Linked DNA regions of Coturnix japonica. The protein of the gene in region 2 purifies or fractionates together with the protein of the main gene of each other region. This does not show direct contact. Links are inferred from orthologs where the notes say so. Each region holds a gene or a part of one and is shown on either strand. Other genes may lie near its edges. The genes, in order: IFT122 and WDR19.

The links.
Region 1: the proteins of WDR19 (region 2) and IFT122 purify together in Homo sapiens (affinity purification with mass spectrometry; 4 studies listed by BioGRID and IntAct, counting the BioPlex papers as one, with this or other methods). This does not show direct contact. The link is inferred for Coturnix japonica from reciprocal best matches to the Homo sapiens genes WDR19 and IFT122.

What each region holds. Positions count from the first base shown.
Region 1 is NC_029527.1:16,810,040-16,813,860, forward strand, and holds part of IFT122 (intraflagellar transport protein 122 homolog), read left to right. Parts: intron 1-1,006; 5' UTR 1,007-1,040; coding exon 1,041-1,153; intron 1,154-1,467; coding exon 1,468-1,647; intron 1,648-2,325; coding exon 2,326-2,401; intron 2,402-2,943; coding exon 2,944-3,135; intron 3,136-3,821. UniProt on the Homo sapiens protein: As a component of the IFT complex A (IFT-A), a complex required for retrograde ciliary transport and entry into cilia of G protein-coupled receptors (GPCRs), it is required in ciliogenesis and ciliary protein trafficking.
Region 2 is NC_029519.1:62,637,829-62,641,649, reverse strand, and holds part of WDR19 (WD repeat-containing protein 19), read left to right. Parts: coding exon 1-78; intron 79-410; coding exon 411-517; intron 518-849; coding exon 850-972; intron 973-2,510; coding exon 2,511-2,660; intron 2,661-3,194; coding exon 3,195-3,342; intron 3,343-3,821. UniProt on the Homo sapiens protein: As component of the IFT complex A (IFT-A), a complex required for retrograde ciliary transport and entry into cilia of G protein-coupled receptors (GPCRs), it is involved in cilia function and/or assembly.

The DNA.
Region 1 (3,821 bases), on a different chromosome or scaffold from region 2:
AATACAAGCAGTTTAAAATAGTATGCAGGCTTATGGAAAAAAAGTTCAAGCAAAATAGCTAAAGTCTAGAGACAGAATAACCAGCAGGAAAGAGGCTCTCCTAAGCTGCTGTTCAGAAGCATCACATTTCATGCAACTTTGCCATTCTCATAATTAAAATATTAGAGTAGTATTAAGAATACTCAGATAGAAATAAGACAGATATTTATAAAAAATGATTTGTTCATTCCTGTGTTGTCTTCTCAGAGAGCTGTCTTTCTTTCTTTGTCCTTGTTTTAGATAGCAGAGGGTTTTGGTTTCTATTAGGTACTGTTTACAACAGTATATATATAATTCTTCAATATATACAATATATATGTAACTCCTTGGAAGGTATCAGAGAGATGCTCTGGTCTTGTGCAAGTGTCTGAACGTCTGTATCCATCTGTTTAGCCAACTTGTGCAGTAGCAATGAAATGAAGTTAGAGGAAAGATGAGTATAGTTTTCTCATAGAGCTGTTCATCTTCTATGTTGTTGGCATTTGCAGAAGGTGTTATTACTCCTCTGCAGAACCTGAAGCAAGGTTTGTTGGAGTCATCCAGCTAACTGCAGTAGAGACAAGAAGAGAAAGCAGGTGTCTCCTGTCCCCATCACATGCAGTTTCAGTCTTCCAGATGTGGCTTTGAAAAGCCTGGTCTACTGCCAACATTCTCATTCCCCAAAATGCATCTATTAATTAGTACATGATACAAACACCACAAGCAGATGATAACTTTTTTGTTGTTTTTTCCACCTTTTTTTAATCCATGTATGTAATAAAAAGCTCTTGCTGTATTGCATGCTGTTGCCATAAATGCAGATTTAGATTGGTAAACAAACTAACTCTAAGGATTACTGGCTCCATTCCAGAACTCCCTTTAACAATGTATTTCAATATACCATGCCTATTTGATTATGCTGTACCATTCTGCCTTCCTGATGCTTGGTTTTAGTAGTTTTCTCTTCAGTACGTGTGTGTTTTATCAGTTGGACAAACGATGGCCAGTACCTTGCTTTGGGGATGTTCAACGGAGTCATCAGCATACGGAATAAAAATGGTGATGAGAAAGTTAAAATAGAGCGTACCGGGGCTGGCTCATCACCAATATGGTCCATCTGTTGGAATCCATCCAGGTAAATAATCATCCCAGCCTTTTCCACACTGACTGGTTAGTCCTTGGTTTATTGATAGCAGAAAGGCCTGACTTGCATCCCTGCTGGAGCAGGTTCACAGCAGGTGATGGGATGTTACCTTTTGTTGAGGTTACATGTTGGGGCTTTGTCAGCTGTTCATTACATGAAAGAAAATGGGAACAAATTCCACCTAGATATCATGAAACGTGGATTTGGATTTTTTTTATTGTTGGATTTCAGCTTTTTTGGGGGGAGAGGAGGGTGGGCTGTTTGCACTTACTGTGCCATATGTAAATAAACAATTGCTATTGCAGTCGATGGGAGACATTTTGGAGTAGAGCAGATGAAGAAGATTCAGATAACGGCCATTTAGAGAAGTCAGATAACAGCCAGTTAGAGGAGATACCAGAATTGAAACCCAAGCCTGGCAGTGGGCAGGATAATGAGGAAAAGGTAGAAGACAATGAGAAAGAAGAGGCTATGCATTTCAGCTTGTGAGTGAGACTACAATGGATAACATATATACATTTATGTACATATATATACATGCGTAACGTAGAAGAGCTATTTGCTAAAAGGACCAGAAGCAGAAGGTATTTATGCATGGTGCAAAACTCAAAAGTTACCAAATTCTGGATTAAGTGTCTTTTTTGTTTTAATTTATTCCACTAGTATGCATTAATGACGACATTTCTTAGGTAATAAATTTCTCTGGTTCACTGCACTTAACCAGTTTGAAGCCTTTCCTCAGCTTGCCCCAGTCCTGCAGGAGCCATTTCATCTCCTGCCATGTGCTCTGATAGTCACAGTCCAATCTTGCTTAGCAGTGTTGTCTTTGATGCCTCAGTGGCTCTGTACTCCTGTGTAGATCCCTAAGATCAGGATCTGTGCCTGCTGTACAGGTGCAGCTTCACTGTACCCACTGCTTACATGCTGAGCATCAAGTGCTGTGTCAAACTTTGCAGTTATTCCTGAAAAGTTGACAGATTTTAATTTTGTGTCCTCAAGCTGTTTTCTTCAGCTGAAATGTCAGGGCATCTCTGCTGTGCTTCCACTTTGTAGAGGTTTTTATGAGGAATTTGAAATATATTCTGCTATCTTACTGTTTGATTCTACTGCCCTGAGAAACGTATGGATAAACTGCCGTGACCATGCGCCTTTTTTGTTGTCAGAGATGAACGCAACGATACTTTAGCTGTGGCAGACTGGGGTCAGAGGCTTTCCTTTTATCAGCTCAGTGGCAAGCAGGTATGTTTTTGGGAAGTGCAGTCGGGAATAGCAGGGTATTTCTGCTTTGGTTCTGTGCCCTGTATTCAAAGTGTTCCTATAGTCATGCTTTGCTAGCTACATTAAATGTTTTTTATTTTCCAGTGCTTTTTATGACTCAGTATTTTTTAACCAAGTTTTCCTCTGGCTCATTTCCCCTGCAACAACTCAGCTGCTGTCTTCCAGTTCTTGTATTAAAGACCTTGTAGCTCTGATCCCTTTTGTGTTACAGCTGACTGATTCCTAGAGGACCTCTGCATTTCTTTCAGCCAGTTGGTTGTTGTTTGATTGCTCACACCCTGAGTGGGCTGATTTGAAAGTGGAGGGATTGATTTAGAGCTGCCTTTTGGAAGCTTGATGGATGTAGGGTATTAAAAAGTTGTGTGTGGCTGGAGAGCTGAGAATGTTCTCAGTGAGAGCAGGTCCCACCAAGAGGATCCTTGTGTTTATTTTCATCTGTTTTAGTGGCCTCAGAAAAGTATGAAATTTCCCTTCTGCTGATGTATTTATTTTTTCCCTTGTAGATTGGGAAGGACAGAATGCTCAATTTTGACCCTTGCTGTGTGAGCTATTTTACTAAGGGAGAGTACCTTTTACTGGGAGGTTCGGATAAACAAGTTTCTCTCTTCACAAAGGATGGTGTCCGTCTTGGAACCATAGGAGAGCAAAGCAGCTGGGTGTGGACTTGCAAAGCTAAACCAGACTCTAACTATGTGGTGAGTAGGTACATTTTACTGGCACTTTCACAGACAGTTTGCCATGAAAGCTAAGGCCATACATTTCAAACTCATTTGCCTAATCTGTATATCCCTACTGAGACAGCAGAACCTAAGCAGTGTTTAGCGAGCTCTAAAGCTGCCTCTAAAATTAAAACTTAAGACTGCAAGAAGTTGGTAAATGAGTGTAATGCCTGCTTTCAGGTTGTGAGGAATTAGCTGCATTTTGGTATAAAAAGAATTTTATTTATTAAAAAAATAAAAATAAATAGACTAACAGCACACAGCAGAGAACAGCTAATGACTTCCAGGTTGATGAAACTGAATTCCATGAGAGGAAGAAAGTTTTGAGTTCTGTTTCTGTATGAGCTTCTGGCATTATACTTTGTGGGAAATACCAACAGGGTATTTATTACTGTAAATGCTGCACTCTGTGCTGATACACAAATTTAAGAGATGCAGAGCAGATTTAAAAAAAAAAAAAGGGGGGGGGGGGAAGGGTGTGTGTGGGAGGTGGATACACTGGAAAGCACCACAAGAAAACAAAACCAAAGCAACACACAGCATATGTATAAGCTATGATAGCATCAGTCCTCACTTTGTACTGCAAAGTTGAACAGCACTTTTGCAGCTGTTTGAATACACATAACTGTAGTTGCTTTCAGTCTATATTTATATCTTATGCA
Region 2 (3,821 bases):
GTTTCATTGCTGTTGGTGTTTATCATTTGGCTGTAGGAATGAACAATCGAGCTTGGTTTTATTTGCTTGGAGAAAACAGTAAGCATTAATTTCATTCTCTTATTTTAAGCAGCCACCTCATTGCTTGTCTTTTTCAATGAATGTGCCATTATGTTAGCTGTGCTGGCCATTCTGCATTGTACAGTTTAATTGTTTATTTCTTCACTAATACTCTATTTTGTCTTTCATTCATTACTAAAAAGGAAAGGGGAAAAAAAAAAAAAAAAAAAAAAGCCAAATATCCCTATTAGTACAAAATAATGATTTTCCCCATCTGAAGAAGTTATGACAAGACAGTGTAATTAAATGAAATAAAACTTCAAGTTCCAGATGTTGGTAATGAAATGTTGAATGTTTCTTTCTCTCTGTAGATGTGAAAAAGCTTAAAGATGCAGAGTATCTGGGTACAGTAGCAAGCATGCATCTTAATTCTGATTACGCTGCTGCTCTCTTTGAGGGTAAAGTCCAGTTGCATATGGTAAGAGCTCTGTCAGTTTGGATTTCTGAATTAATAGATTTAAGCTGAACAAGTTTAAGAAAATTTTAAAATTATATGAAGTGGAATAATCTTTGGTTGATGGAGATAGAAATAAAGTCCTTTATTTTTTATGCTGGCTAATTAAAATATAAAACTGATTTTCTGGAAACTTTAGAAATAGAAGCTACTGTAGAACAAGTGAGAGAAAGTGTTTTCTTGTGAATTGTGTGACAGGAAAACTCATTTCTGGACAGTTTGATGCAGGCAAAACTTTGATATCAACGGTGTAGTTACAGTGTAGTCTTGAAGGTCATTTTTTTTCTTACGTTTAGATAGAAAGTGAAGGTTTGGATGCTCAGGAAGAAAGAGAAACTCGACTCTTCCCAGCGGATGATGATAAATACCGAATTTTGTGCCATGCTTTGACTGGTGACTTCCTCATATATGGTACAGATGTGAGTATTATCTCTGCTTTTAAGCATCTTTTAAAATTGAAGGTATTTCTGTTCACGTGATTTGAATTATTATCAATTTTTGCAGAAAAAAAAAATCCTTCTGAGAAATTTACTTCAGAATATTTTCTATGCAAAAGCAGTCAAAATTGCATTCAACTTCCCCTAACTGTTGCACTTATATGAGATGTTTTGGCAGGAATATTGTTTTACTAGGGTTTGGTTCAAAAGACTGCTCTTTTTACTAGCAGAATTTAATTCTGCTGTAGTAGTGACATGATTGGCAATCAAAGCATCTTCCAGATATAAGAAAAAAATTTTTGAAAATTTTTGGCTTATTTTGAAAATATATTTATTTAGGTGGTAACATGATAGATGTGGACCCAAAGATAATGAGGTAAGAAAGTATTACGGTGTAAATGTAGGTCTCAGCTTACTACTGAACCATAATGTGAACATGCTTGTGGACTTTTCAGGAGATTTTCCTCTGTATGAGGTTTGTTGTTGTTGTTTTAGTATTTTTTGCCATAGGGAATACAGGGCATGTTTGACATTGTATTGTGCTCTTCACTGGAATGAACTAGTACTGATAAATTTTAAATAGTAAATTCAGAACCAATCCATTGGGTGTGTAGATGTTTTACAATTGACTTCAAAAGCTTGTTTTACTTCTGGTGTTCTTGTTTGTGCAACACTAGTTGAGAAATAGTGTTTATCACCAGTAAGCTTGTTTGCTTTTCCCCCTGTATTAAATAAGCCTGAATTTGTCTTTCTTCTTGGGCGGCACATTATTCAGCATTGATTGAAGGCTACGTTTCTTTCAAGAAAGAAGCAGGCATTTCCCCTCACTTCAGAACTGCACTGTAATGTCTCCATAAAGCAAAGTGAGAACAAGAACACCCATTTTCCTCCCTCTTTCCTAAAACTGTTTCACAGTTATCTTCTGTGTGAGGGCAAGTGAAGTAGAAGGAACCAAAACAGGACTACGTAAATAGCACCACTTAGTTTCCATTCTTTTTCTGTGAATCATTTTCAGTTGATAATTTAGGTCTTAGCTGAAGATTCTACTTCCACAGTGGTTAACCATGCTCTTAAATGAGGACATCCAAAGTTTATTTGAATTAATTTCAATCTCTGTATTCCTAGTTTATTTCTGGGTATTTTTTTATTGTAAATTGTTAATGATACAACCAGTGCTAGTTAGAGAAATAAGAAATAATTAACAGCTGTTCTACATTCTTATTTTTTCACTGGAAAAGGCAGGAGGTGAGGTAGTGAGGTGGGTTTTTTCCTTTCAAATAAAAAAGGTCCTCCTCTTTCTTTTTTATCTCACTCCCACGAAGTTTTCCTATGCTGCCCAATAACATCTCTCAATGAGGAAAAAAGTCAAAAGAAAGCTGGAAATGCTGTTTTTCACGTGTTCTTACTCAGATCTCTAAGATGGGGAAAAAAAAACCAACAACCCACAATCAAATTCATGATCTACTTGCCATTTATTAGTGTCAATATTAGCTTTTTCCATTTTTTTCTTTTCTCATTAGACTGGAGTTATTCATTATTTCTACATCGAAGACTGGCAATATGTGAATGAATATCGTCATCCTGTCAGCGTGAGAAAAATTTTTCCAGATCCTAATGGAACCAGACTGGCTTTCATAGATGAAAAAAGTGATGGCTTTGTCTATTGCCCAGTAAGTTAGTATGGGATACTCATGCCGTTATATTTACAATCTAGGACTCCAACTATCTTGTAAAGCATGTTTTATCAATAGAAGTTTTGTTACTCAACACATGCTAGAAGAAGAAATTGCCAAAAGGGCTTAAATGGTAAAGAATAGTTATGTAAAGAAATGAAATGTGTCATAGTAGATCAGAGTAATTGAATTACATTAAATGCCTTTCAGAAATTAGATATTAGTGTATTCCAATACAATTTTAGCTAATGTTTAAGTGCTAACTTTCAGTTTCAGTACTGCCTGTCCCAATGCTCTTCTTCCAAGGAAAGTAAATATCATGCTTGTGACATGTATTTTCTGTGTTTACTTCCCTTCTGAATTAAACAATTACACTATTCAGAGTCACAGCTCATAAGAAAACTTTTGTAATAAGAATTTTGTATTTCTGCACCACTTCTATTCCTCTATTTTTAATCGTTATCTGAATGAAAATTTAGCTTGTATCATTAGTCTTGCTTCCTTGTAATTTTACTTCTGCATTGTTTCTAGGTGAATGATAGAATATATGAAATTCCAAATTTCTCACCAACCATTAAAGGAATCCTCTGGGAAAACTGGCCAATGGATAAAGGTGTTTTTGTTGCTTATGATGATGACAAAGCATACACTTATGTCTTTCATAAAGACGCCATTCAAGGTACTGTAAATGCTTTGAAAATCTCCACAATTGCTTCAGTTATTAAAGCAAAGCATATTCTGTTTTTAATTTGTATTAAATATTTCCACATCCGTGTATGAAAATGAACAGTACAGAGGTTCTGAAGGTAACTGTCTAATAAAAAAGTAAACGTTGTGTAGGTTTCTCTGCAGACTTCTAGCAAGAGACATTCTGATTTAACCCTTCAATCTTCTTGCTCTTATACTCTTCTGTCTTATAATTACGCATTACGCTTCAATTGTATTTTGAATGTTCAAGAGAAGCTCTTAGGATCAGAGATAAAACTTCTGTTCACTTATAGTATTAATCAGAAGTGTAACCGTAGCTATTTCTACATGAGTGGCAAATGCCAAGAACTTTATCTATCAACATATGGAAAATGATTTTTATCATTTACAAGTTTTAACAGACTTTTTTCTATTTCACTGGCAAACATCCTCTTTTAGAGTAGATTGTGA